7 linked regions of the Macaca mulatta genome follow. The protein of the gene in region 1 binds, or shares a complex with, the protein of each later gene. Links are inferred from orthologs where the notes say so. Each region holds a gene or a part of one and is shown on either strand. Other genes may lie near its edges. The genes, in order: RUVBL2, UXT, PFDN6, ASDURF, POLR2E, ANP32E and BRD8.

Region 1 (2,803 bases):
GCGGGAACAGAGGGCTTCCTGGACTCCTGAGTCTGGGACCTTTGGAGGCAGCTTGGGAGGTCAGCGGAGGCGCTGGCCCCAGGCACATGCTCACTCCCCTATCCACACATCCTCCAGATGCGGGTGCTGCAGGCGGCCCTGCTGCCCCTGCCCCAGGTGGTGTGCACCTACCGCGAGGTGCGCTTCGACTCCATCCAGCTCCCTGGCTGCCTGCCTGGCGTGGACCCCGTGGTCTCCTTCCCTGTGGCTCTCAGCTGTCGTTGTGGACCCTGCCACCGCAGCACCTCTGACTGCGGGGGTCCCAAGGACCACCCTTTGACTTGTGACCACCCCCAACTCCCAGGCCTCCTCTTCCTCTAAAGACCCTCCCCCCAGCCCTCCAAGTCCATCCTGACTCCTGGAGCCAGCAGACACCCCGTTCCTCCCGCAATAAAGGCTTCTCAGTGCGCACTCTGGAGGTGTCTTTCTGTGGGCTCAGGGCAACCACACACAGAGTGGGTGCAGCTTCAAACCATTTTATACAAAGTCACAGTGTCAGAACTCTGGTAGAAAACAGGGTGGGGACAGGGGATGACATCCAGCTCAGGAGGTGTCCATGGTCTCACCTTCTGTGGGGAGAAGGAAGGCCACATGGTCAGTGTGGCCCAGGGGGCAGGGCCTGAGCCTTCTAGGCCGAGCTCCCTCTTCCTCCCCGAGGTTGGCTCTGGCAGTGCAGGTGCAGGGTAGGGATTCTTACTGAGTTCATTGAAGAGGAAGGCGTCCTGGTACTCCTTCATGTACTGCGTGGAGCGGGACTCGTCCAGGAAGAGTGAGTAGACCCGCTTGATGTCATCCACCTGCACTTCTGTACCCTGGAGGGGGAGGGCGGGTCCTGAGTTGGGCCCCTCTCCGTGAGGCTCACGGCACAGACCCCAGCATATGTCACCTCCATGCTCTAGGCAGCAGAGGGTGGCATGTGAGGGGAGGGCATTCTGGCCAGATCGCCTGGGTTCAAAACCTGCCTGGCCATCTCCTGGTTGTGGGCCCAGCCTCTTCATTCCTCAGTTTCTTTATCTGTAAGGTGGACCTAACAGCATCTACTTACAGTCAACAGAGATTTACTGAGCACCTACTGTAGGCCAGGCGGGGAGATACAGAAGACAACTTGAGGGATGAAAATTCCCTGCCTCTGAAAATGTACATCCTAGGTTGAAATTGGAACCCTGGCAGCCCCTGAAGTAGTGCGTCACTCACTGCCGCCATCTGGCCCTGCTGGCTAATTCGGCAGGCTGACCTTGCGTTTCCGGCACACCAGGCTTGCAGCCGTGATGAGCTGGATGGCGTAGCGCAGTGACGTCTCCAGCCCGATGCGGGTCAGCACCGTGTAGGCGTCCTCACTCATCTCCACATCTTCCTCCTCGCACCTGCAAGCAGTGGGGGACGGGGGTGGCTCAGCCAGGGCCCAGCCTCTGACTGCAGCAGAAGTGGCCACAGCAACCCTCTGGTCCTTCCCCACTGGGAATATGTGGCGCCTGCATCTTAGAACCATAGAATGCTGAGGCTAGAAGAGCCACGGAGACAGGGGCTGGGCTGGATCTAAAACCTAGGCCTCCTGACCACGCCCAGGGCGCTGGCCCCCACACCGGTCACGGGTACCTCGCCTCCCTTTCCCACCATGGCTCCTGCTCCCGGATCGGCGGCCACTGTCTGGGTGCCAGATCAGCCCTCTCTCTTGCAGGCCCAGCCACCATGCCAGTCCGCCAGACCTCAGTGTCGGCATTTGTCAAACAGGGTAGACCCCAGCCCCGCCTCCCAGGCGCACGGTCTGGTCCTGCCCGCACCGGATGCGGAGGATCTGCTTCGTGTCTTTCTCGCTGTAGGGGGTGGTGGAGACGATAAGCAGCCGGTCCAGCAGGTCTATGGGGATGCCGTGGGGGCTCTGGTAGCTGGTGCCCCGGATTCTGAGGAAGAGGCAGAAAGAGGGGGCTGTCAGGGGGATGTTCCCTTTTCATTCCCTTTGCTGGAAACACTCCCACCTCCCATCACCACCCACTCAGTGGGCCCAACACCACTTAACCTTTAGCTCGTGTCTCCTGTCACATGATGACATCACCCCCTGATGACGCAGCCTTCCACAACTGTCAGTCCCCCAAGGACACCTTTCCGCAGAGCTGGGCTGCTTTAAGCTAGCTCTCTGCCTCGAGGATTACTGGATCAAGGTCCCACTCCCGTGCTCGACATGAAGCTTCACAAAGGAGGGGACAGAACCTGTCTTGTTCCCTGTTGCAGCGGGGCCCGCCCAGGGCTGGTACCAGGGTATACAGTCAGTTCCCCTTATTCACCGCAGTGAGGTTCTAGAGAGTCACCGTGAACACTCCAATTAGCCGATCCTGAGCCACTGCTCCTAGTGGAATACAGGGTTAGGCTCTCTTGAGCCTTTACTCACAGTATTTTCGTCAATCAATATATATATAATCTGGGTCTATGTGTGTTTTCATTTGTGTGTTTCTGTTATTTTTTTTTTTTTTTTTTTTTTTTGAGACGGAGTCTCGCTCTGTCGCCCAGGCTGGAGTGCAGTGGCCGGATCTCAGCTCACTGCAAGCTCCGCCTCCCGGGTTCACGCCATTCTCCTGCCTCAGCCTCCCGAGTAGCTGGGACTACAGGCGCCCACCACCTCGCCCGGCTAGTTTTTGTATTTTTTTAGTAGAGACGGGGTTTCACCGTATTAGCCAGGATGGTCTCGATCTCCCGACCTCGTGATCCGCCCATCTCGGCCTCCCAAAGTGCTGGGATTACAGGCTTCAGCCACCGCGCCCGGCCTCTG
Region 2 (4,070 bases), on another chromosome or scaffold:
TGTTTGTACTACTCTAGTCACCCGGGATATAAACCAAAGCTCCCCCTTTGTAAAACTTACATTCTAATTGGAGGAGACAATATGAGAAAGCAAGAAATTACACAGTAAATATTAGGGGGTGATAAGTGTTAGGGAAAAAAAGTAGACGGAGGGGAATCAAGCATGCCAGGGGCTGTGATTTTAAAGTTAGGTTACAGAGGGCCTCATCGAGGAAGCGACATTTAAGCGAGATGAGTGAGGAGAAAGGAAGCCATGTGGGTACTGGGGAAAAGGGCAGTGCAGGCAGAGAGAACAGCTACGGCAATTGCCCTGGGGTGGGATCATTCTTGGGGTGCTGAAAGAAGCATGTGAAGGTCAGTGTGGCAGGAACACAGTGAATGAATAGTAAAATTAGCAGGAAGTGAAATCACAGGTAACTAGTTTTCTTGTTACCAACTCTAACAGGCTGAGACCTCATGGATCTGGTCATAATTGTATTTATGTATAACAGTATAGTCCTTCTAGATTTTAAGCCTTCAAGGAACTCTTCTGTCTTGTTCACTGCTGCATTCCCACTGCTAAGCACAGTGCCTGGCATACAGAAGATTCCCAATAAATGTCTGCATGAATGAACGATACAAAGATCATTTTTTGAATGCTTATTATGTGCTATACATGGGCTTTGCAACCACATTTCTTCAGCCCCAGCTCTGAGGAGGAGGGGAGATGAGTCCTTAAGTATCATTCTAGGCAGCCATGGGGAAAGTGAGAAGAGTGTTGGAAATGGTGGTATTTTTACACACTATCCTCATGGAATGGACTTACTCTGTGAGGAGAGAGCTCTTACGATCAATGAACTTGAGAGCTTCTGCCAGTGTCAACTCCAGGAAAAAACCATATCCCAGGGCCACATAGATGCGTGAAGTATCTGGGCTGAGGAAAGAGAGGTTAGAGGAAGTGCGGGGGAAGTCCTTATCACTGTTTAGCAGAGTGTATGTTTTGCTCCCCACCCTTCCCCAAATTGAGGCTCTGGGAAGGCAGGGATTTTGTCCTATTTTATTCACTGTCACATCCCCAGCGCCTAGCTTATATCCTACTGGGATAATAAACCTCGTATAGTGCCTGGTACATAGAAGATACTCAAAAAAATATATGTTGCATGAGGGAAGGGGTAAGCTGAACCCTGTGGGCTCAGAGGGGCGGGTAGACACTCACACCACTGTGTCAACGAAGAAGTTACAGCCCAAATCCACCTGCATATATAACTCCGAGTGCTTAGCTTCCTGTGGGGCCAGGGAAAAAGAGGTAGGGGTCAGTGGTGAACTCTTAGGTCAGGTGACAGGTTTGGCTCTGGAGTCTCTCTTCCCATTTCCCTCCCTTACCCACACACACCAAAAAAATGATACCCAACCCCATAGTCTTTACCTGGAGTCGCTCAATGACATTTCTCAGTTGAAGGTATTTGGCCAGCTGCTCATATACCTTGTCTCGATGGTCCAGCACCTTTCTGATGGGATGAAAGTACAATGGTGACCAATAGGCAGCCCCATTCCTCCTAGTATACCTCATATCATGACCCTCTGAGACTCTCACGTCACCATACGCTGAAAAGGCTTTTTAGTGTACAAGTTAATTTTGGGCTCTGGGTCAGACTGCCTGGGTTTGGATCTGGGCTCTGTCCTTTATAGATGTGTGGCTTTGGCAAGTAAGGAACCTGTTTGGGACTTGGTTTCCCCATTTATAAAATGCAGATGACAGTATTACCTTGTAGAGTCATTAGGATTAAATGAGCATTTACTCAAAGCATCTAGAATAATGCCTACCAAATGGTAAACTCTCTACATGTTAGCTATTATTACTATTACTACACTCCCAATACTGAACTCCAATCATAATGTCCCATCCTCACCCTAGAAAAATCCTCCATCCCTTTTAGGATGCTCATAGTCCTAGTTCTGAACACCTTACTTCTTGCTTAGATTAACAAAAATTGCAATAATATTTCTTCATACTTATTGAACCTCTACTATGTTTCAGGCATCCATGCTACTAAATTATTTACAAAGATGGGACATATGAAAAACTCAAAACCACTGCATGGGGAAGGTTCCAGAAAACTCCCCATTTCACAGAGAAGTTTATAGGGCACAGAAAGGCGAGGTATGACGTATTCACAAGGATGAAGAATGGCCGAGCCAGGATTCGAACCTGAGAACTGTGGCTCCAGAAAACAAGCCCTAATCCGTCAAACATCGGAGGCCGCGCATGCGCTGACACGCCCCCTGCTATGAACGCCACGTCCCAGCCAAACTGCACCCCGGATATCATCACCACTTCACGCTCCAAGGAGCGCGGGGCCGGACTCTGAACGCCTCGCCCACCAATCCAAAGGGTTGGCCCTAACTCTGAACGCCCCACCCACCACGTGGAATGTTCCAGACGCCCCGCCCTCTGCACTGTCACTCACCGCAAGTCCCGCTGCAGCACGTCACTGATGAAGGTCTCGTAGCGCAGTACTTTCTCCCCCGTGGCCTCCACCGCCCGCCGCTTAGGGGGCGTCGCCATGATGGGCTCCTGGGGAGTGGGGAGGGGGAAGACCACGTTGACCGCTCCAGTTTGGCCTCACACACAGTTCATCTCTACCCTCTCAACGCTGGGAATCGACTTGTCCGGCTCAAGCTGGGGGCTCAGCCTTCCGCCCCTCCCAACTCGGGGACCCGGCCACCCAGGGACACCCAAGCGCGGCCTTTACCTCAGGGCCGCCAGCAATAAAAACGGTTGGTAGGAACCGCGGCTTCCGGGTGGCGCGGGTGAATGACGTAAGTGGCAAGCGCGCTGGCCAACCAAATAGCCAGCTGGGGAAGACGGGCCAAAGGGGAGAAGAGAAGGGCGGGGCTTCACGGAATCCGAGGAGATCAAAGATGACTAGGGCGTGGGAGCAGGCCATCTGGCAATAAACCGGCCAATGGGGGACTGCAAAAGCGGCGCGTGGAGCCTATGGAGACCGTGCGTCGCTGGTGAGGGTGGGATTTAATGGGATTTGGCGGTTCTAAGTTAGGCGCGACGCACAGGTAGAGGTAGAGAGAGGAAGTGAAGAGTTTAATATTTAAAAGGACCTAAGAATTGACTATGGTTCTGGTCTATAAGGAAGATCCCGTGTGATCTGTCGGCTTGGATATTGATTTGTCATACGGGAGGTTTGGGTTTCACTCCTGGCAATGGGACTGAGTATGAGCACTTAAAAGGTTTTAAACAGAGACAGATTTTCTAAAATTCATCTTTGATAACTCCAGCTCTGTACCTGCAACCTATAACTGAGGCTCAAGCGGAAATTGACAACGCACTATATCTAATCACCTCGTTTGATAGTCAAATGGAGAGGGTGGCTGAAGTCCTCTGCAGAATATTGGCCATCTTGTAGTTAGGCATAGTTCCCATGTTTTTATTTAAATGGTAAGGTTTTTGTGAATTTATTCTTATGCACTAGAGTGACTGAGTGAATTTGTTTTTCAGTTTAGATTTTTTTTAAAAAAATTATACTTTAAGTTCCAGGGTACATGCACACAACGTGCAGGTTTGTTACATATGTATACATGTGCCATGTTGGTGTGCTGCACCCATTAACTCATTAGGTATATCTCCTAATGATATCCCTCCCCCCTCCCCCCTCCCCACAATAGGCCCCGATGTGTGATGTTACCCTTCCTGTGTCCAAGTGATCTCATTGTTCGGTTCCCACCTATGAGTGAGAACATGCAGTGTTTGGTTTTCTGTTCTTGTGATAGTTTGCTGAAAATGATGGTTTCCAGCTGCATCCATGTCCCTACAAAGGACACGAACTCATCCTTTTTTATGGCTGCATAGTATTCCATGGTGTATATGTGCCACATTTTCTTAATCCAGTCTATCACTGAAATGCCTTAAATTCAGGTTAGATTTTCAAACAAGAACTTATAACCCAGCAAGAATGGGCCTTTGCCTGGAGAAGAATCCAGACCATGGGATGAATCTCCAAATGCTATTTCCATCTATAGAGCTTAGAGCACCCACCCCTACCAAGGAAGTCTTCCCAGATAATTTGTGTTTCATAT
Region 3 (3,079 bases), on another chromosome or scaffold:
GACAAGGAAATGGCAGAACAACTTTATGGACAACATATAAACTTGGGAGGACTTATACACTACAAAGCATTACGTGCTGGGATTTTAAGTCAGTTTAAGCTACATTCAAGCAAATTCTAGGAAGACAGAGGCTGAAAAGTACCAATAGAGATGCCAGGGCTGCTGGCAAAGAGGGTAACCACATTTCATCCTGGGGCCTCAGGTTAGAGAACTGTGAATTCTTTTTCAATTGAACTGACATTCCTAGTAATACGCTATGTTGTAAATGCCCTTCCAAAATAATCATGCCAACCAAGATGAGGGAAAGTTAAGGGTTGTATATACAGGCAAGAAGTAGGTTTGAGGACATTTAGGATTTCACTTTCAAGAAAGAAAGAACATCGTGCCACAAAGAAGTTCCAAGTGCAAGAGTTTGAACCTGAGGGGGTAATACAGGTGGTGTGTGTGAAGGTGGAAGGGACTGTGGGGATATGACAGAAGCGCCTGGTCAGGAAACGGAGCCAGGTGTTTTTACATTTTATTAGCTACAGTATAGATGCTAGAGCTGCCTCATTCCCTCCCCTCCCCTCCCCCCACCAAGGGGTCAGGCCTTGCCAGGAGCCCCTGCCTTTGCCGCCTGGGCCCGCTGGAACTCCTGCTGCAGCTGAGCAAGGGTCTCCCTCTGTTGCTCTGACTGCCGCTCAAGATCCCGGAGCTGGGATTCATATCGCTTACTAAAGAGAGACAAGGGAGACAAGTAGAAAGGGAGAAATTAGTAGGACTTACTAAGGAGGGTGCTAAACGCAAGAAAGAGATAGGTGGAAAACTTGAGATTAGGGAAGGGAGAAGGGGGGTTAAAAGGGAAGGAAGGGGTTGGAGGAACTGGAGGACTAGGGGCCACTATGGAGAGCTGTTCTGCAATGGTTCAACACCTCTACTCCAATGGTTCACTGCATCACAGGGTGCAGCACACAGTGGTGGAATAAAGACTCACATTTCAGCTGTGATATAGTCCAGCCTCTTCCCTACTGTGGCCCGAGCCTCCCCCAGCTCCTGTTTGACTAGCACCGGACCCAGAAGTTTAAAGACCACGTTGGACCCATCCAGCAGGGCCAGTTCCTGATGGAGGGATGGGACATACGTGATCAGAACCATGGCTAGTACAGGTCCCTCCTCGCCCCACAAATCCCAGTCCCTCACCTCTTTCACGATATTATTTTCTGTTAGTTGTGCTTCAAGTTTCTGCCTCCCCGACATGGATTTACTCAAGTCTGGGGATAAGAGGAAAGGCAAGATTAGAAACATCAATCCTAGTCAGGTGGATATGGATCTGAGGAAGCAGAAAAAGATGGGGGCAGCGGGTCAGTGAATAGGGAAGAGTACTGAAGCGGGAAAGTCTCTGCACGCAAGGGCCCAGATGGGGCAACAAACCTTATCTCGGTAATGGCTTTGGGTTGTGAGTGCATTGGGCGAGGCCATACCGACCCTGCTCCCTTACCCTTCTGTAGCTGTTGATATTTCTCCACTTCTCCCTGCAGCTTCTTCTGGATCAGCTCCGCCATGGCGGGGATGAAAGCCTACGGGGAGCGAGACAAGGGCGCTGCGTCTCACTCTCTGGAAGGTACCTGAGCTCACTTTTCTGATCTCGCCTGCGGAAATGATAGCACTCTTGAGAGGCAGCCCTGAGGGGCACCGCCACCTCCCCCCGGTCCTGGGTATCGACTCCACCCCGTCCCCAGGATATGGTGGGCGAAACGCAAGACCGTAAGCCTCTCAACCGAAATCCTAACCTATTCACGTTCTGCTTTCAGTAGTAATAAACCCGGAAGTAAACGAGGAATGCCGGGAAAAGACTGCGCCGGAAGTTTCTTTCTGACCCTTGATGGGAAGTGTAGTTCTGACATGTTTAGCGAATGGAGTTCTGCTACAAAGACTGGACTCGGATATTTTTAGGCAAGATGGGGAAACTAACCCGGAAAAAGAAACCGCACCGCTACTTAGCCCCTGGTCCCGGGCCTGCCTTTCTTTTGTAAGTCACTCTTGCATAAGCTGCCGCTCCCGATAAGGTGCCAAGAGCTCTTCCGCCCCTCTAAGGAGAGTGTGCCCTCACTCAAGATGGCGCCTAGAGAGCTTCAGACCTGGTACGCTACTGATTGGATGAAGGATAGAGGGCTTCCGGGAGTTTTCAAGCCGACTGTGGGGCAGCTGAGAGGAGTTTTGCACGTGGATCGCCGTTCGGATGGGCGAGATGGAGACAGCCCCCAAGCCGGGCAGGGATGTCCCGCCCAAGAAAGACAAACTTCAGACCAAGAGAAAGGTATCGGCCTCCCTGGGTGGGAAAGGAAGTTTTTTGCTGCGGGGTCGGGGGGGCGGGGCGTGGGTGCGGAGTATCAGAGTTCCTGATCTGCTTGTAGAAACCGCGGCGATACTGGGAGGAAGAGACTGTTCCGACCACAGACGGAGCCTCTCCAGGGCCTCCTTGTAACAAGAAGAATCGGGAGCTCCGTCCTCAGAGACCAAAAAATGCTCACATATTAAAGAAGTCTCGGATCTCTAAGCAGCCTCAGGTCCCGAAGAAACCCCGAGAGTGGAAGAACCCGGAGTCCCAGCGGAGCTTGTCCGGGGTGAACGTGGAACCTAATGGGTGGCGAGGCAGGCCGCCTTGTGCTTTGAAAGGGTTGGGGTCAACCCAAGGCTGTCTACTAACTGCGTTCTCCTTTCCCCTAGGCCCAAGATCCATTCCCAGGCCCCGCCCCCGTCCCTGTGGAGGTGGTCCAGAAGTTCTGTCGTATTGACAAATCCCGAAAGGTGAGGTCCAGCCGGAGAGTTGGGAAGTGTTGGAGGCAGGGAGTGTCTGGGTGAGTTGAATGGAGGCTGGGCTAGGTAGCTCTCCTGTGACCCCACTTATCCTATGGTTCTTCTGCCACTCCTCCCCACCAACAATGTTATAGCTACCACGTTCTAAAGCCAAAACTCGAAGCCGACTTGAGGTGGCTGAAGCTGAGGAAGAGGAAACAAGTATCAAAGCTGCTCGTTCTGAGCTGCTGCTTGCTGAGGAACCGGGGTGAGTGGGCCCTAATCTGGACCCCCAATCCTTGCC
Region 4 (3,486 bases), on another chromosome or scaffold:
AGATAAAGACAGAAAATAGTAAAATATATCCAATTCTAAAGAAGTCACATATGTTGTGTTGTAGTTTAAATGCAACTAAAATATGCTATATTCTTACAATCAAAATGCTACAAGCTTTAAGGGTCAAAAATAGGTCTCAGAAATTATCAGAAGAAACAGTGTCATACCTTTGCACTGCTCTGATAGGATTTCACTCCATCTTGGGCCACTAACCAACCAATTCCTCTAGAAGCAAACCAGACTGCACAGCCAATGCTATCATCCAAAACTGTATCCAACGGCTGAATTAAGTGACATATTCGAGTCCTTCTTAATTTCTGCAGTTCTTCCATAGAAACATTAATTTCAACAAAATTCCAAATTCGGGAAGGGCTAACAGCTTTTAGTTCCTTTAGTCCCGCCCTTCCTGTGATTCTATCTGGTACACTGACATATTTATCAGGACTGTCGTCATCAGCAGCAGCATCATCTTTAGAGAATTCTTCAGAAGATATTTCACATTTATTTTTCTGTTTATTCCTTTCTTTGTTAAAGCTAGTTGGCATGGTCTTTTCTTCAGCTATGAAAGCTACATTAAGAAGATCAATTGGTTCATCTAAAGGAATATGACGGTCAGCAAGGGTTGCAATAACCATGGAATCAATGCCCCCAGAAAACAGGATTGCAACATTTGCTTTCCTATCACACATTTTCGAAACTTCATTTGCTGTCAGGTTTTCACCCCTAGGTAAACACAAGACACGTTTCTTGACTGCTACACTCAAGACATCAATGAACTGCTGAATTACTTCCTTTATGTGTACATCAGTAAGAAAGACCTGAAGTGTCTCTCTTGTAGGTGGCACATTGGAAATATTACTGCAATGAGTCTCCAATGCAGCTTGTGGCAACATCATATTTAAAGGAACAACAGGTTTTTCAAGATACAGTTTGGCTTCATTTGCTACCACGGATACAAATGCTGGTAAGTCTGCTGAAATTTGACTCAGGCTATTAACATTTTCTTCAATAATATTCTCCCTAGAAATATATTTCCAAGGATACAGTTGTAAAATAATGCATCTGGAAATGGCAGTAGACTTAAGATCAATTCGGAAAAGTCCAGATGCTGGAACTTCTTGCCACTGATTTGCCAATCCAGATGTTTTGGTGCCAACTGAAGAGAGGCAGAAACTCTTGCCCAAATTACTAAAATGCCAAAGCAAGCTACGGCGACCAAAAAAATCCCTACCAAACCATAAATAATGACTAGATGCTTGATAATATATAAATGACCAGGGACCTTGCACTTCTGAGAAGAGTGACAAAATCTCAGATTCATTCTTACAGGAGGAAAGATAATTAAACAAAATTTGAGTATCATTCTCTTCAGCTTCAACCTTTATTCCACTAAAAATTTCTCCATTCCACAGAAACACATTGCCTCTTTCATCTTCCACAGGCTGGGTAGTCAAAACACCCCTCAAGTGTAGGACGTGACCAGAAAATAAACACTGGTAGTTAACATCAGACTTGAACAATTGTTTACTACTATTGGGTCCCCGCTGTTTAAGATTATATAGTAAGTCCTCTTTTAAATCTTGACTGAAATGCTCAGCAGAAAAGTTTACAGAACAACAAATGCCACACATTGTTACGTGAAATTAGGTTGACTATTTCTTGATTTTGGTCTTCTCTAAGTTTTCTATTTCTTGGTATTCTTTTTTCAGTTCATCCAATATACCTGTTGCAGGGAAGGAGAATAAATATTAAATAACATAAAAATTCTTGGACTTTTACCTAGCAATTCAGAGGGCAAAACAAGCTGTTTACCAAAATCAAACCATATAAACACACACACTGTGCCAGTGCCAATGATAATTAACAACAGGCTACTAACAAAGAATGTTTATCTTTTACAAAAATAGCTTCTGTTTTGCCGGGTGCTCATTTTGGCCCAAGCACTTGGCTAAGCACTTTTTACACAGCATCTTATTTAGATCCCACAATACCTTGGAGGTTTAAAGTATTTCACCCAAAGTCACAAAGGTAGAAAGTGGTAATTGTTTGTCATACTTAGGCCTGTTTGAAACTCTAAAGCACATGTTAATAACTATTGCTAACACATATTATGATATATATATATATATATATTTATTTAAACTGTTGACTCATCTTTGGAAGGCTAACTTGAAGAAAACCAAACTGCTGCATTAATCTTTTGATATATATTTTAACATTCAGATGAGTATAATTTAGGCACCCCCCAAAAGCCACAAAAAAGAAAAAACTTACTTTTGCTCTCAGATAGCATTTCTGTTCGGTCTGCAAGAAAGAATATATTGCTGTTCTGTTGCTGCCTATATACTTTCTGGAAAACATAATTTAGGCTAAAATCAAATTTTGATCTAAAAAGTAGATGTTAAAATCCTTAACCCTATTATCACTAATTCTTGAACTTCAGTAATATATATTTAGTACTATACTTTAGCAAACACAGATAAGCAAAAACACAAATAAAAGTCATCCATTGCCCAACTACCAGAAAGTGCTACTACTGAAATGAAACTATTTTCTCTCCATATACCATTTTAACAAAAAATGTTCTTACTGTACCTGCAGATTTATGCTTTTATCAATGAGCAATATATTGAGAACACTTTTTCTTTTTTTTTTTTTTTGAGACGGAGTCTTGCTCTGTCGCCCAGGCTGGAGTGCAGTGGCGCGATCTCGGCTCACTGCAAGCTCCGCCTCCCGGGTTCACGCCATTCTCCTGCCTCAGCCTCCCGAGTAGCTGGGACTACAGGCGCCCACAACCGCGCCCGGCTAATTTTTTGTATTTTTAGTAGAGACGGGGTTTCACCGGAGAACACTTTTTCTTATCAGTAAGTGTTATTTTACAAGAACACAAAAATGGCAAAGCAAGCTACGGCGACCAAATTATACCTACTGCTATACAGGTATAATATATTACAGTTTATTTGCTCGCTTCAAATACTAAACATTTAAAGTGCTACCAACTCTTTGCTATTGTAAATCAACGTTGTGATGAATATCTTTGTAACTAAATCTTCGTGAACTCCCATGATTCTCTCCTAAGTATCAACTACTATAAATGGAACTGCTGGGTCAAAGTGTTATAGTTTGAGTTGTTGAGATTTGCCCTCAATTTGCCCTCTAGAGAAAGTCTGTATTAATTCTGCCTCAACTTTTTTTTTTTTTTTTTTTTTGAGATGGAGTTCTGCTCTGTCGCCTAGGCTGGAGTGCAGTGATGCGCTCAGTTCACTGCAACCTCTGCCTCCCAGGTTCAAGAGATTCTTGTGCCTCGGCCTCCCGAGTAGCTGGAAGTACAGGCAGGCACCCAGCTAATTTTTTTATGTGCTTCAACTTCTAATATTCCATAAGTGACAACATCAGAAATATCTAACCAGTTATTACATAATCTTTAAAATACTTTTAAGAGCTCAAACTCATTTGTTCCTGAATGTTAAAATGTAATTTGACACT
Region 5 (3,951 bases), about 60 Mb from region 1:
CGTGGTGGCGGGCACCTGTAGTCCCAGCTACTCTGGAGACTAAGGCAGGAGAATGGTGTGAACCCGGGAGAAGGAGCGTGCAGTGAGCCAAGATTGTGCCATTGCACTCTAACCTGGGCGACAGAGCGAGATTCCGTCTCAAAAAACCAAATAAACACTACTAAAAAAAGTAAAAGTAGCCAGGTGAGATGGTGTATGCCTGTAAACCTAGCTTTTTGTGGGAGGCTGAGGTGGGAGGATTGCTTCAACCCAGGAGGTGGAGGTTGCAGTGAGCCGAGATTGCGCCACTGCACTCCAGCCTGGGTGACAGAGAGAGAGACTCAGCCTCAAAAAAAAAAGAAGACCGGGCGCAGTGGCTCACGCCTGTAATCCCAGCACTTTGGGAGGCCGAGGCAGGCAGATCACCTGAAGTCAGGAGTTTGAAAGCAGCCTGGCCAACATGGTGAAACCCCATCTCGACCAAAAATACAAAAAAAAAAAAAAATAGCCAGGTATGGTGGTGGGTGCCTGCAGTCTCAGCTACTCAGGAAGCTGAGGCAGGAGAATTTTGAACTCAGGAGGTGGAGGCTGCAGCGAGCCGAAATGGCACCACTGCACCACCTGGGTGACAGAATGAGACTTTCAAAAAAAAAAAAGCAGTAGCATCACCCGGTTGGCAGACACGCTCCGTCCACCCCACTGATTAATTCTGGGCACGCGGCTGTGTCCCTAGGCGCTGGTAGTCCCCCAACCACTGAGGGCGCTAGAGCCATCCTGGGGGGGGGCAGACAGGTGGGGAGACTTCCACGGTCCAGGTGCTGAAACCGAGGGTCCCAGGGGTCCCGGGAAAAGCGGCCTGAGCACAACCTCGAGGGATGAGTAGCGGACGCTGACAAGGCAGAGGCGGCATGGGGTGCAGAGGAATGGGCTGGGGCAGACAGGGGCCACAGCTCACAAGGAGGCTGCGCTGACCCACACGGGGCCTCCTGGGCCAGGCCAAGAAGCTGGAAGTGCACCCAACGGCCAGGATGGGGGAGCCAAGGAACACAGGTAGGGCAAAGGTCATGAGGGGCTGCGGGTGAGTAGGGAGGTCCATGGGACTCTCCTGGTTGGCAGGAAGAAAGGGGACCGATGAGAGGGAAACCAGAAAGAGGCTGCGCATGAGAGGGGTCAGAGGTCCACGGCATCGCCCACAGCAAGGAAGAGGAGGGGAAGTTTTCCTCCCAGATTGGGCAGAGGATCAAACGCTGGGCACGAGGCGGGAGGGGGTGGGTGCTAGCGGCCGGCTCCTCAGCAGGTGCTCGGGCGGCTCCACCAGAACTCCCCCGGGACCCGCTGCTCACCTGGAAAGAACACAAACATCTGGTCGGTGGGGTCATCGTTGTGGGCCACCAGCACCGTGAGGTCAGTGCGCCGCGGCCGCCCCTCACTCGGCTTGTCTCCAAATTGGGCTTTGAACTCCTCCAGTGTCTGGTCAAGCTCGTCCTGGGTCACTAGGTAGCCACGGTCGTGGCACAGCTGCAGAGAGAAAGAACCAGCTGACCCCAGGGCAGAGACAGGAAGGCGGCCAGAGCTCGTGACCCAGAAGTCAGACCTGCGGCTGCTGCAGAGGACAGAGGTGAACAGCAAACGGAATGAACACTCGCTGTGTGCCCCATGACAGCCATCCTGGCCCCCACAGCCCCACACCACAGGATGGGACCAGCGTGATCCCGAGAGGCTCGCAGAGGTGTCCAGCCTTGACCAAGACCGTCCGTCTATCCAGCCTCACAGGAACCTGGCAGGGGGCAAAGCCCTCCAAACCACTTTGCAGAGCTACCCTAAAGACAGGGACAAAGACGGGGCGTGGGGGGTCACGTCCACGACCCCAGAGCTCAGGGAGGCCGAGGCAGGAGGGCTGCTTGAGGCCAGGAGTTCAAGGATGCAGTGAGCTATGACTGCACCACTGCGCTGCAGCCTGGGCGACAGAGTGAGAGCTTGTCTCTTAAAAAAAAAAAAAAAAAAAAAAAAAAAAAAAAGACAGGGACCGAAACAAATGTGACTTCAGGCTGACAATGTTTGCGGCCCGGAGGAAGGAGAATCAGGCTGCGGGGGGCTTCGCTAAAGACAAGGGCATAGGGGGTGGGGAAGCAAGACAAAACAAAAGCTCCCAAACGGCCCCAACGGCTGAGGGAGGACCCTGAACCGCAGGCCCTCAGACCTTTGCCCAGTTTCCAAACCGGAGTCGGCCCAGTGGCCTCCATCTGTCTCAGACCCCGAGGCACGGGTTCCGGGCTCCACGTCCCCATCGAAAGCCCCAGCTCGCCTGCTGCTTCCCAACCACCAACTCCGCCAGCCTCGGATGCTGAGACGCCCTGGGGTTCAGGACGCAAGGACAAATGGCGACGCTGAATCACAGAGAGGGGCAGGGTCTGGGGGCGCCCCCCGTCCCCATTCGCACCTTCCTCCTCTCGCCGCCATGTGCGCCGCACCAGCCCAAGCCGCCCGCCCACCGCTAAGCCCCGCACCCAGACGTCTCGAAACCCCCTCCCTTCCCCGCTGCCGGCTCAGGTCGGGCCCAGCGCCTGGGATCCCCGGCGGCCTCGGGGCCTCCCGTGTCGGCCGGGCCCTCCGTCGCTGCTGCTGCGACGGGAGTACGAGGAGACGCCGAGCTCGACCTCGCCTCGGGCCCCTGCACCTGCTGCTCGCGCCCCCGCCCCCAACACCACGCGCGGCTCACCTGCATGATGGTCTTGCGGATTTTCCAGAGCCGGTACGTCTCCTCCTCGTCGTCCATCGCCGCCACTCGCACCCGTTTTGCCTGCGAGAACCCGCGCGGACTGCGCCTGCGCCGACTCCCAATCAGGCCCCCTCCACGTAACCCCGCCCCGCGATGGGCTGTCGTCGGCGAACGCCTGAATGCAGCAACTTCCGGGATCGGCAGCGCCAAGGGCAGCCCGAGCCTTGCGAGAACGGCAGTTTGCTGCGCGAGACTCTCCCTCCGTAGTTCTCGTGTGTCTTTGGCTGCACGGCCTCTTGGGAGTTGTAGTTTCCGTTCAACTCCCACGTTGCGGCGACAGTTTAGAATCCCATGAGGCGGGGGCGAAGTGTGGGCGGGGAAACTGAGGCCTGGAATGGGTCAAGGGGCAGCTCGGCTCCTAGGGACGGTCGGGGAGCCTAGTGGGAACTCTTTAAATATTTGTGCATCAAACTGTACAGGGTTTCCTCTGTTGGCTCCAGGCCAGGTCAGGGTTAATGCCCTTGGGCCTCAGTTTCCCTACCTGTGCAATGGCAAAAAGTGTCCCTACTTTAGGCGGTTAACTGAGAGTCTTAGGTAGAGCTAGGCATATCTCTAGGTGCTTTTTAAGTCCCTTCACCTCTGTCCTCTCCCCTGAGTGCCAGCCTAGCCTGGGTATCTCCCCACCCCAGATCCGTCCTGTCTTTGCAAACCTCACCTCCCCAGATTCACGGAGGATCCCAGCCCAGCACTCGCTGTGTGAAGGCAATCAGTCACTGACTCAGTGATGCATTCATTAATTCAGCATTTACTCAGCAACCTACAGTGATGGTGAATAAAAACAGGCCAGGTATCCCTTGCATTCAGAGACAGGATTTAGTAAAATAACGTTACTGGGCGCAGTGGCTCATGCCTGTAATCCGAGCACTTTGGGAGGCTGAGGTGGGCAGATCACGAGATCAGGAGATCGAGACCATCCTGGCTAACACGGTGAAACCCCATCTCTACTAAAAATACAAAAAATTAGCTGGGCCAGGTGCCCGTAGTCTCAGCTACTCGGGAGGCTGACGCAGGAGAATGGCGTGAACCCGGGAGGCGGAGCTTGCAGTGAGCCGAGATCCGGCCACTGCACTCCAGCCTGGGCCGCAGAGCGAGACTCCGTCTCAATAAATAAATAAATAAATAGGACAGGCGCAGTGGCTCATGCCTGTAATCCCAGCACTTTGGGAGGCCAAGGTGGGTGGATCATGAGGTCA
Region 6 (4,144 bases), on another chromosome or scaffold:
GTTCTCTATACCCGATGTGAAAACCTGTTTGAGGTATCCGAGGGCTAAAATTTGGCAACAAGGAATGCCACCTTCTCTATTTGAATACGACTTTGACATAATTATTTCTGTTGCCAGAGAGAGCATCTTGAGCTCCGTTTTGGAGAAGTGGAAGCTATGGCCCAGAGAACAAGAATGGCTTGCCTAGAGTCACACTTGGTTTGCAGCAGGGCTGTGAATTGGTTCGTCTTCACACTCCCCATTTAGTTGAGGAGTGGGGGCTACTAGATTTGGTGTCAGAAAACCAATTCCTGCACTTGCGTAAATCATTTCACTGTCCTGAGACTCCGTCTGCTAATTTGGATTCTAGAATAACACAATCCACTTTACAAGTGTGTAAGGAGGAAAGTAAATAACAAACGGGAAAAGTGCTTTGTAAACTGTCTACACAAATGTAAGAGACCGTTATTACAACACAGAGGAAGAAGCTGAAAAAAGGCAACGTCCTGCACTCCCAAAACTGGCAAAGAAATTACTACAATCACTAAGTCAAAGAATCCTGGCGGGGGAGGCGGGGGCGGGATTCAATTTTCCAACCCAAGCCACCAAAAAGTATTCTAAACGTGTGCTTGTGAGAGACAGCTTTTCAAGTTTGATTTTGTTTTTTCCCTGAAGCCCCTAAGAATAAGTTCTAGAAACTTCAAGATCTCTCCGGAATGACCCTGATAGCAAGCAACTGTTTCCCCTCCCTGGCCCCTGCCAATTTCAGAAAACAGGCACCTTAAAAAAAAAAAAAAGGCCGGGCGCGGTGGCTCAAGCCTGTAATCCCAGCACTTTGGGAGGCTGAGACGGGCGGATCACGAGGTCAGGAGATCGAGACCATCCTGGCTAACACGGTGAAACCCCGTCTCTACTAAAAAATACAAAAAAAAACTAGCCGGGCGAGGTGGCGGGCGCCTATAGTCCCAGCTACTCGGGAGGCTGAGGCAGGAGAATGGCGTGAACCCGGGAGGCGGAGCTTGCAGTGAGCTGAGATCCGGCCACTGCACTCCAGCCTGGGTGACAGAGCGAGACTCCGTCTCAAAAAAAAAAAAAATTTATTAAAAAAAAAAAAAAAAAGTCTTAGTTGCCACTCCACACGCCGTACGCGAAAGCCTAGACAGACCCTGCTCATCCTCTATGCGGGTCTGCACAGACACCACCCCAGTTATATCCTTCTATCGATCGGTCGATCCAGCTACAGACAACTCCCTTACATTCCAATTCTAGGGCTTCTTTCAGCAAGACAGATGCTTTCCTCTGCGAGGCTCCCCGCTGGCCACCAGCCCTGCTCTCGCGACCTGCCGCTCCGACTGACGGGAAACCCCACACCGGGCGGGGACTCCCCAAGGAAAAAAGGGGTCGCCTCCCAACCCGCGTTGCCCTCGCGCCTTCGCCCTGGGTAGGTGAGGCCGAGGAGGCAACCGCGAAAAGGAGGCGGAAACGCCTCCTGCCCGACCCCCGAAAAGTTGACCGCGACCCCGCCTCATGTGGCCCCTCCCAACGCCGTCTCTTTAACTAAGGCAACAGCAGTGAGAGCGCATCATTTAGTTTCGGCGAACCCATCTTTAAAGCACGAAACTACTACGTCCCTTATGTTGAGTTCTGTGAAACCGTCTCCAGGGATCAAATTCAAGAGTTGCGGCCACACGACGTGCCACATATCTTTACACGGCGGGGGAAGAAGCGGATTACGCCTCCCGTCCCCTCCCCACCTCCGGTCACTGCGACGAGTCCCCAAACTCGCCCGCGGTCAGAGAACCCGCGGCTGACCCAGATTCCGCCGGGCGGAGGGCGGAGGGCGGAGGGCGGAGGGCAGCGCGCGCGGCTTCCCGGAGGAGTGGGCGCCGCCGGAGCAGACAGTGCGCGGACCTTGAAAGCGACCCCAGTCCGCGCCCGTCGCGACGTCGGATGCCCAGGGCCTTGAGGCCGGGGGAGCCCACCCCCCAAAAAGATGAGTTGGCCGCACTGCAGAAAAGTTGGACTAACTTCTCAGGCGCCGATGGCTGCGGCAGGGGCCGAGTGGGACTGGGGGGTCGCGTCCCACGCCGCTGGCCCTCAGGAGGAGGAGCGCCGGGAGCGAAGCGGCAGAGCGCCCCCACCAGCCCGCTTCCCGCCCCCACGAGGCCAGGACGCCCGACTCGATGAAAGCCGAAAGGAGCTAAGCCCCCATGCACACACAAAAACGCCCCTAGAAACTTCAACCCTTCGCCATTTTAAGTAGAAGATTTTAATGATTTAAAACTTAAAATTAAACATTTCCCCAACCCTAAACCGGGGGGGCGGGGGCTAACTTATTACTCCATCCCCGCACACCCACCCAGGACCACCAGAAATCCGATCCTCAGAATACACGACTGATGGGGAAGGGGTGGGGGCTGAGTCATCTCACCTCCTCCGGGGCTCTGTTCCTTAACTCCAGGTTAATCTTCTTCTTCATCTCCATGTCCTCCTCTTGCTCTTCAGCTACTACTCTCCTTCTTTTCCCTTTCCTGCCTTTCCCAATACCCCCAACCCAAAATTTTTAAGAGATTTAGAAATGAATGAAAAGGAACGCAAATATAAACGCCCACTACCACCAGATAGGTGTGGGGGAGAAAGAAGAGAATAGCAAATGGAGTCCAAGAGTTGGGACTCTAACTCAGCTGCCCCCACCTCCTTGTCCACACACTAGCGCGCGCACTCACACGCACGCACGCGCGCACACACATACACACACACATACACACGCACACACACACACACCCGCAGTTCCTTCCCCTTCAATGGCTGCTCAGAGACTGAGCCTCCATGACACGGCACCGCCAACCCCCTGGCCTACACTCCACCCACCTCCCAAACGTATTGGTTGATTCTTTAGCGTCACATTATTCCATTGGGCTAGGTAAATGTCTATCAGTCTTCAGGGAGGACCTGGACCAGAAACTCCGTATCTATTGGCTACGATCAAGGGCGCAGTTAATTTTGATAGGTCCAGGAGGGTGTACGTCCGGGAGTAATGATTTTGAATCCCAGTTCCCCCCCTACTTTTCTTTATGTAGTTGGCGCGCTTTCCCTGGGCACTCGGACGGTTTTGTTGTCTGTTGGATTTGTTTTTTAGTTTTTGGTTTTTTATTCTGTTGTTAGTGTTAAAAAGGGAGAAAGCATCCTTCCGTGCCCAACTTGCGATACTGATAATTCACCACACGGCATGCACTGGCTCTTGGCCGTTTTAAAAACACAGCCTCTGCTTTGCAGCCAAGGTGTACAGCAACGTGCGCATCACATTAAAAAGATGCCTTGGTGGCATTGTCCTGCTGGGGTCAGGCTTTTCACAGAGGCTGACCTTCCGTGATGCAGAGCCAGAGCCAAGATTTTAAAGATGGTAGTTTAACACTATAAAAGACAACAATTTTGAAAGCAGTTGGGTGAAGTATGTAAGTTAATAATATTTAAATAAAACTATCCTGGAGGAATTGTTACTGAGTTAATTTTTGCTGTAATAAACACTAAGACCTTGGAGGAAAAACAACGCTGGCCTAATGAAAATCAGACATTAATTAGCATAGAAATGGCACAGCAATGCCTCTCTAATTTCCCTTTGGTTGGTTTCCATGGAAATCTGTAGGTAAAGTGTGCTTTTAAAAGTGTTTATCGCTTCTTCTCTGCCTTTTGGCTAAGATCAAGTGTAGGATCTGTTCTTAACAGTTTAATATCTGATATATTTTCTATCCGAGTCCAATATATTAAATGGATTTGGGGAGCAGGAAGACGCAATAGGAGCTTTCTTGTTCACTTAACGCATCCACCTGGTATTACAGTACCTCCAGGAACAGTGCACCCCCTCAGGGGATTAAAATTTAGTGTTCAGGACAGAAGAAGGAAAAAAAAAAAAAAAAAAAACCAGTTTGTCTATGTGGGATGGGATATGAAAGAGTGGGATAATAATTATCTTTTAGCCGGGTGTGGTGGCTCACACCTGTAATCCCAGCACTTTGGAAGGCCAAGGCGGTGGGATCACCTGAGGTCAGGAGTTCGAGACCAGCCTGACTAATATGGTGAAACCTCGTCTCTACAAAAAGTACAAAATACTAGCCGGGTGTGGTGGCGGGCGCCTGTAATCCCAGCTACTCCAGAGGCTGAGATA
Region 7 (3,500 bases), on another chromosome or scaffold:
CCTGCACCAGAAATGACAGTCAAGCAAGAGAGACTGGACTTTGAGGAAACTGAAAACAAGGGAATACATGAACTGGTGGACATCAGGGAGCCCAGTGCAGAGATCAAGGTGGAACCTGCAGAACCAGAATCAGTCATTTCAGGGGCTGAAATAGTAGCTGGAGTTGTTCCAGCCACAAGTATGGAGCCACCAGAACTCAGGAGTCAGGACTTAGATGAGGAACCGGGAAGTACTGCAACTGGAGAGATTGTTGAAGCAGATGTTGCCATTGGGAAAGGCGATGAGACTCCACTTACAAATGTGAAGACAGAGGTACTTAATAAAGATCAGGGGCTGGGGAGATGGAGGGTTATACCTTAAGTAAGAAGTGATAGCTTAGGTTTTTTGGTTTTCCAGTTGCATTCCTGAGTTCTGACATGTTTGATGGTCCAAAGCCCATAGGCTGTGATTAGTGTTATATATACTTATTCCTGTTAAGGTGACCATTGGAGTCACATTACATGAATAGGACTTAGAATTTCTTCTATGGTCTCATTATCATTGAAGAATAAAGTTGTGTGAGCTATAGTGATTTACCAGTACTTAGGGTGTTTTTTCTTTTCTGGTTTTCAGGCATCCCCTGAAAGCATGTTGTCTCCATCACATGGCTCAAATCCCATTGAAGATCCTTTAGAAGCAGAGACTCAGCACAAGTTCGAAATGTCAGGTAAATAAAGTCCTCTTTAACTAACTTGAAATCATTTGCTTTGGCTTCTGAGGGATTGTGGGTTGTGGGCAAGTAGAGGAGGTAGAACAGGTCAGCATGGAAAGGAGAGCTGCAGGGGATTATGGTCCATAGGAAGGGGAAGGCTAAGGTGGAAAAATCTTCAGGTAGTCTTTCTCTCCTCTGCAGACTCATTGAAAGAAGAATCAGGGACTATTTTTGGAAGCCAGATAAAGGTATTTCAGACTTTTCTTTATTCCTCTTGCCATGTGATTAGATTTCCCTATAGCACTACTTTTTAATGAATTTCAGTAAAGTCGCATTTTTATTCTCTGATAAGAGACTGGTATGGAGTTGCGTGGGGAAAAGCTGCAGTAGACAGGCATAATGGGAGTACTGTAGCAACAGGTGCCTCCCATATGAAACAGCTTGTGAATATCACAGTCCTTAAGAAGCCTTGATACACTTAGAGTGATTTGGAGTGAATAAGGATACCAGAACTAAGGAGAACATACAGGAATCCAGTTTATTAATTAGACTATCCAAAGAAAATCATCCAAAGTTTTCTTTTTAGAATTATTAAAGCAGTAGTAACAGAGACTTAAAGAATGCGATGTGAGCTTGCTCCATCAGATGAGACACAAAATAAAAATTATTTTTGATAACTTTGTATCCAGGGTCAGAGTTACTCTTGAACAAGGGGAAAGAAGGAACGCCTCTTAGCTTAGTCTTAAGTAAGTAGCTTTTTTTTTCTTTCTTTTTAAAAGATCCTGGGTATTATTCTTTGTCCAGGTTCTAAATTACTTAAGTCAGTGTCTTTAAGTAGATGGTAGTATAAGTGATAGACAGCTAAGTCAGGAAACAGCGTGAGGTCATTTCTAGAACTAATTCTAACCCAAAAGACAGAGCATGTTTAATGATGCTTTGCTGGATAGCTTTGCTTGCATTTATTGACTGGAGCATACTGTGTCTAAGGATGCCCCAGGTGAGGATGAGGAGGAAGATGGTGTCAGTGAAGCGGCCAGCCTAGAGGAGCCTAAGGAAGAGGATCAAGGAGAAGGTTATTTGTCAGAAATGGATAATGAACCTCCTGTGAGCGAGAGTGATGATGGCTTCAGCATACACAATGCTACACTGCAGTCACACACGCTGGCAGACTCCATCCCCAGCAGCCCTGCTTCTTCACAGTTGTGAGTATCTGAGATTCTTCCTTTGAGGCTAAGGCAGTGAAGGTGAGAAGGAGAGGATCTTTTCTTCCCCTCCCCTCCCCTCCCCTCCCCTCCCCTCCCCTCCCCTCCCCTCCCCTCCCCTCCCCTCCCCTCCACTCCCCTCCCCTCCCCTCCCCTCCTCTCTTCTCTCCTTCTTTCTTTCTTTCCTTCCTTCCTTTGTTGTTCTCACTCACCCATGCTGGAGGGCAGTGGCGCGATCTCAGCTCACTGCAACCTCCACTTCTCAGGCCCAAGCAATCCTTTCACCTCAGCCTCCTTAGTAGCTGGGACTACTGGCCTGCACCACCACACCCTACTAATTAAAAAAATTTTTTTTAGTAGAGACCAAGTTTTGCCATTTTACCCAGGCTGTTCTCAAACTCCTGAGCTCAACAGTTGCCTCGGCCTCCCAAAGTGCTGAGATTACAGGCATGAGCCACCATACGTGGTCTTTTTCTTTATTTTTAAATTTTTGTTTTTAAAAGATGTTCTTTTAAGAGACAGAATCTCCCTATGTGGTCCAGTCTGGTCTTGAACTCCTGACCTCAAGCAGTCTTCTTGCCTTGACATCCCAAAGCACTAGAATTAGAGGCATGAGCCACAATGCCTGGCCTGATCTTTTCTTTAGTGTTTCCCTTTTTTGGCCTGGAATAAACAGTTGACAAAAATTATTAGGGCTGGGCATGGTGGCTCACACCTGTAATCCCAACACTTTAGGAGGCTAAGGCAGGAGGATCGCTGGAACCCAGGACTTCGAGACCAGCCTGGGCAACACAGTGAGACCCTATCTCTACAAAAAAATTAAAAAATTAGCTGGGCATGGTGGTATGCACCTACAGTCCCAGCTACTTGGGAGGCTGAGGTGAGAGGATTGAGTCTGGGAGGTTGAGGGTGCAGTGAACATGATCACGCCACTGCACTCCAGCCTGGGGGACAGAGTGAGACCCTGTCTCTAAAAAAAAGAGATAATTTTATATATATATATATTTTTTTTTTTAACTTGTGCCTAGTGAAATTGCTGTATCTCTGTTTCAGCTCTGTCTGTAGCGAGGATCAGGAAGCTATTCAGGCACAGAAAATTTGGAAGAAAGCCATCATGCTTGTATGGAGAGCTGCAGCTAATCATAGGTGAGTGGGCTTTACCAGTCAGTAGGTTCATTTTCTCTTACTCTTCATTGTTGGTGACTGGAAAAAAGTCTGAGTAGGCTTCTGTGGAACTGCTGGTATTGGTTCTTACTATCTTCAGCTACTTAGAGTAAGTTCTCTCCCTGTTCTTCTGGAGAATGTCAGTAATTGCACCTTATTCCTTTTGGACAGGTATGCCAATGTCTTCCTGCAGCCTGTTACAGATGACATAGCACCTGGCTACCACAGCATTGTGCAGAGGTGAGCCATGATCCACTCAGCATGGTAACTTGCCTGAATTATAAGTTGTCCAGTCTTAGTGAAAGTTTTGCTTTAGATAGAAAGTTTAAAGCAAGTAAATTTATGGTTTTGCTATAAGGGGCACTAAGTACTAAACTGATGATTCCAGTGGCTGGATCACCACTGATAGTCTAAAAGAATAAATCCTCACCGGGAGTGGTGGC

The links.
Region 2: RUVBL2 (region 1) and UXT share a complex: the UniProt entries of both Homo sapiens proteins name them as parts of the PAQosome complex. The link is inferred for Macaca mulatta from reciprocal best matches to the Homo sapiens genes RUVBL2 and UXT.
Region 3: RUVBL2 (region 1) and PFDN6 share a complex: the UniProt entries of both Homo sapiens proteins name them as parts of the PAQosome complex. The link is inferred for Macaca mulatta from reciprocal best matches to the Homo sapiens genes RUVBL2 and PFDN6.
Region 4: RUVBL2 (region 1) and ASDURF share a complex: the UniProt entries of both Homo sapiens proteins name them as parts of the PAQosome complex. The link is inferred for Macaca mulatta from reciprocal best matches to the Homo sapiens genes RUVBL2 and ASDURF.
Region 5: RUVBL2 (region 1) and POLR2E share a complex: the UniProt entries of both Homo sapiens proteins name them as parts of the PAQosome complex. The link is inferred for Macaca mulatta from reciprocal best matches to the Homo sapiens genes RUVBL2 and POLR2E.
Region 6: RUVBL2 (region 1) and ANP32E share a complex: the UniProt entries of both Homo sapiens proteins name them as parts of the SWR1-like complex. The link is inferred for Macaca mulatta from reciprocal best matches to the Homo sapiens genes RUVBL2 and ANP32E.
Region 7: RUVBL2 (region 1) and BRD8 share a complex: the UniProt entries of both Homo sapiens proteins name them as parts of the nuA4-related complex. The link is inferred for Macaca mulatta from reciprocal best matches to the Homo sapiens genes RUVBL2 and BRD8.

Annotation. Positions count from the first base shown.
Region 1 is NC_133424.1:61,470,578-61,473,380, reverse strand, and holds the end of RUVBL2 (ruvB-like 2), read right to left. Parts: intron 1,941-2,803; coding exon 1,821-1,940; coding exon of another isoform or gene 1,802-1,820; intron 1,430-1,801; coding exon of another isoform or gene 1,404-1,429; coding exon 1,274-1,403; intron 852-1,273; coding exon 737-851; intron 609-736; coding exon 583-608; 3' UTR 501-582; downstream 1-500. Other genes in the region: LHB (lutropin subunit beta), read left to right, coding at 118-360. UniProt on the Homo sapiens protein: Possesses single-stranded DNA-stimulated ATPase and ATP-dependent DNA helicase (5' to 3') activity; hexamerization is thought to be critical for ATP hydrolysis and adjacent subunits in the ring-like structure contribute to the ATPase activity.
Region 2 is NC_133426.1:47,680,317-47,684,386, forward strand, and holds the start of UXT (protein UXT), read right to left. Parts: upstream 2,801-4,070; 5' UTR 2,757-2,800; coding exon of another isoform or gene 2,545-2,756; coding exon 2,447-2,544; exon of another isoform or gene 2,435-2,446; intron 2,401-2,434; exon of another isoform or gene 2,017-2,400; intron 1,487-2,016; coding exon 1,405-1,486; intron 1,263-1,404; coding exon 1,195-1,262; intron 913-1,194; coding exon 805-912; intron 600-804; exon of another isoform or gene 433-599; intron 1-432. Other genes in the region: uncharacterized protein LOC144338585, read left to right, coding at 2,543-2,756. UniProt on the Homo sapiens protein: Involved in gene transcription regulation. Acts in concert with the corepressor URI1 to regulate androgen receptor AR-mediated transcription. Together with URI1, associates with chromatin to the NKX3-1 promoter region.
Region 3 is NC_133409.1:148,999,055-149,002,133, forward strand, and holds PFDN6 (prefoldin subunit 6), read right to left. Parts: upstream 1,800-3,079; 5' UTR 1,770-1,799; exon of another isoform or gene 1,557-1,769; 5' UTR 1,542-1,556; coding exon 1,478-1,541; intron 1,251-1,477; coding exon 1,180-1,250; intron 1,099-1,179; coding exon 974-1,098; intron 714-973; coding exon 584-713; 3' UTR 501-583; downstream 1-500. Other genes in the region: WDR46 (WD repeat-containing protein 46), read left to right, coding at 2,219-2,296, 2,394-2,603, 2,707-2,787, 2,931-3,043. UniProt on the Homo sapiens protein: Binds specifically to cytosolic chaperonin (c-CPN) and transfers target proteins to it. Binds to nascent polypeptide chain and promotes folding in an environment in which there are many competing pathways for nonnative proteins.
Region 4 is NC_133417.1:94,654,492-94,657,977, reverse strand, and holds the end of ASDURF (ASDURF protein), read right to left. Parts: intron 2,351-3,486; coding exon 2,275-2,350; intron 1,724-2,274; coding exon 1,653-1,723; 3' UTR 1,632-1,652; downstream 1-1,631. Other genes in the region: ASNSD1 (asparagine synthetase domain-containing protein 1), read right to left, coding at 168-1,631.
Region 5 is NC_133424.1:1,752,873-1,756,823, forward strand, and holds the start of POLR2E (DNA-directed RNA polymerases I, II, and III subunit RPABC1), read right to left. Parts: upstream 2,801-3,951; 5' UTR 2,756-2,800; coding exon 2,699-2,755; intron 1,498-2,698; coding exon 1,323-1,497; intron 1-1,322. UniProt on the Homo sapiens protein: DNA-dependent RNA polymerase catalyzes the transcription of DNA into RNA using the four ribonucleoside triphosphates as substrates.
Region 6 is NC_133406.1:116,901,952-116,906,095, reverse strand, and holds the start of ANP32E (acidic leucine-rich nuclear phosphoprotein 32 family member E), read right to left. Parts: upstream 2,801-4,144; 5' UTR 2,465-2,800; coding exon 2,411-2,464; intron 2,077-2,410; exon of another isoform or gene 1,734-2,076; intron 1,517-1,733; exon of another isoform or gene 1,236-1,516; intron 1-1,235. UniProt on the Homo sapiens protein: Histone chaperone that specifically mediates the genome-wide removal of histone H2A.Z/H2AZ1 from the nucleosome: removes H2A.Z/H2AZ1 from its normal sites of deposition, especially from enhancer and insulator regions.
Region 7 is NC_133411.1:147,018,802-147,022,301, reverse strand, and holds part of BRD8 (bromodomain-containing protein 8), read left to right. Parts: coding exon 1-312; intron 313-612; coding exon 613-706; intron 707-892; coding exon 893-939; intron 940-1,678; coding exon 1,679-1,893; intron 1,894-2,946; coding exon 2,947-3,039; intron 3,040-3,228; coding exon 3,229-3,297; intron 3,298-3,500. UniProt on the Homo sapiens protein: May act as a coactivator during transcriptional activation by hormone-activated nuclear receptors (NR). Isoform 2 stimulates transcriptional activation by AR/DHTR, ESR1/NR3A1, RXRA/NR2B1 and THRB/ERBA2.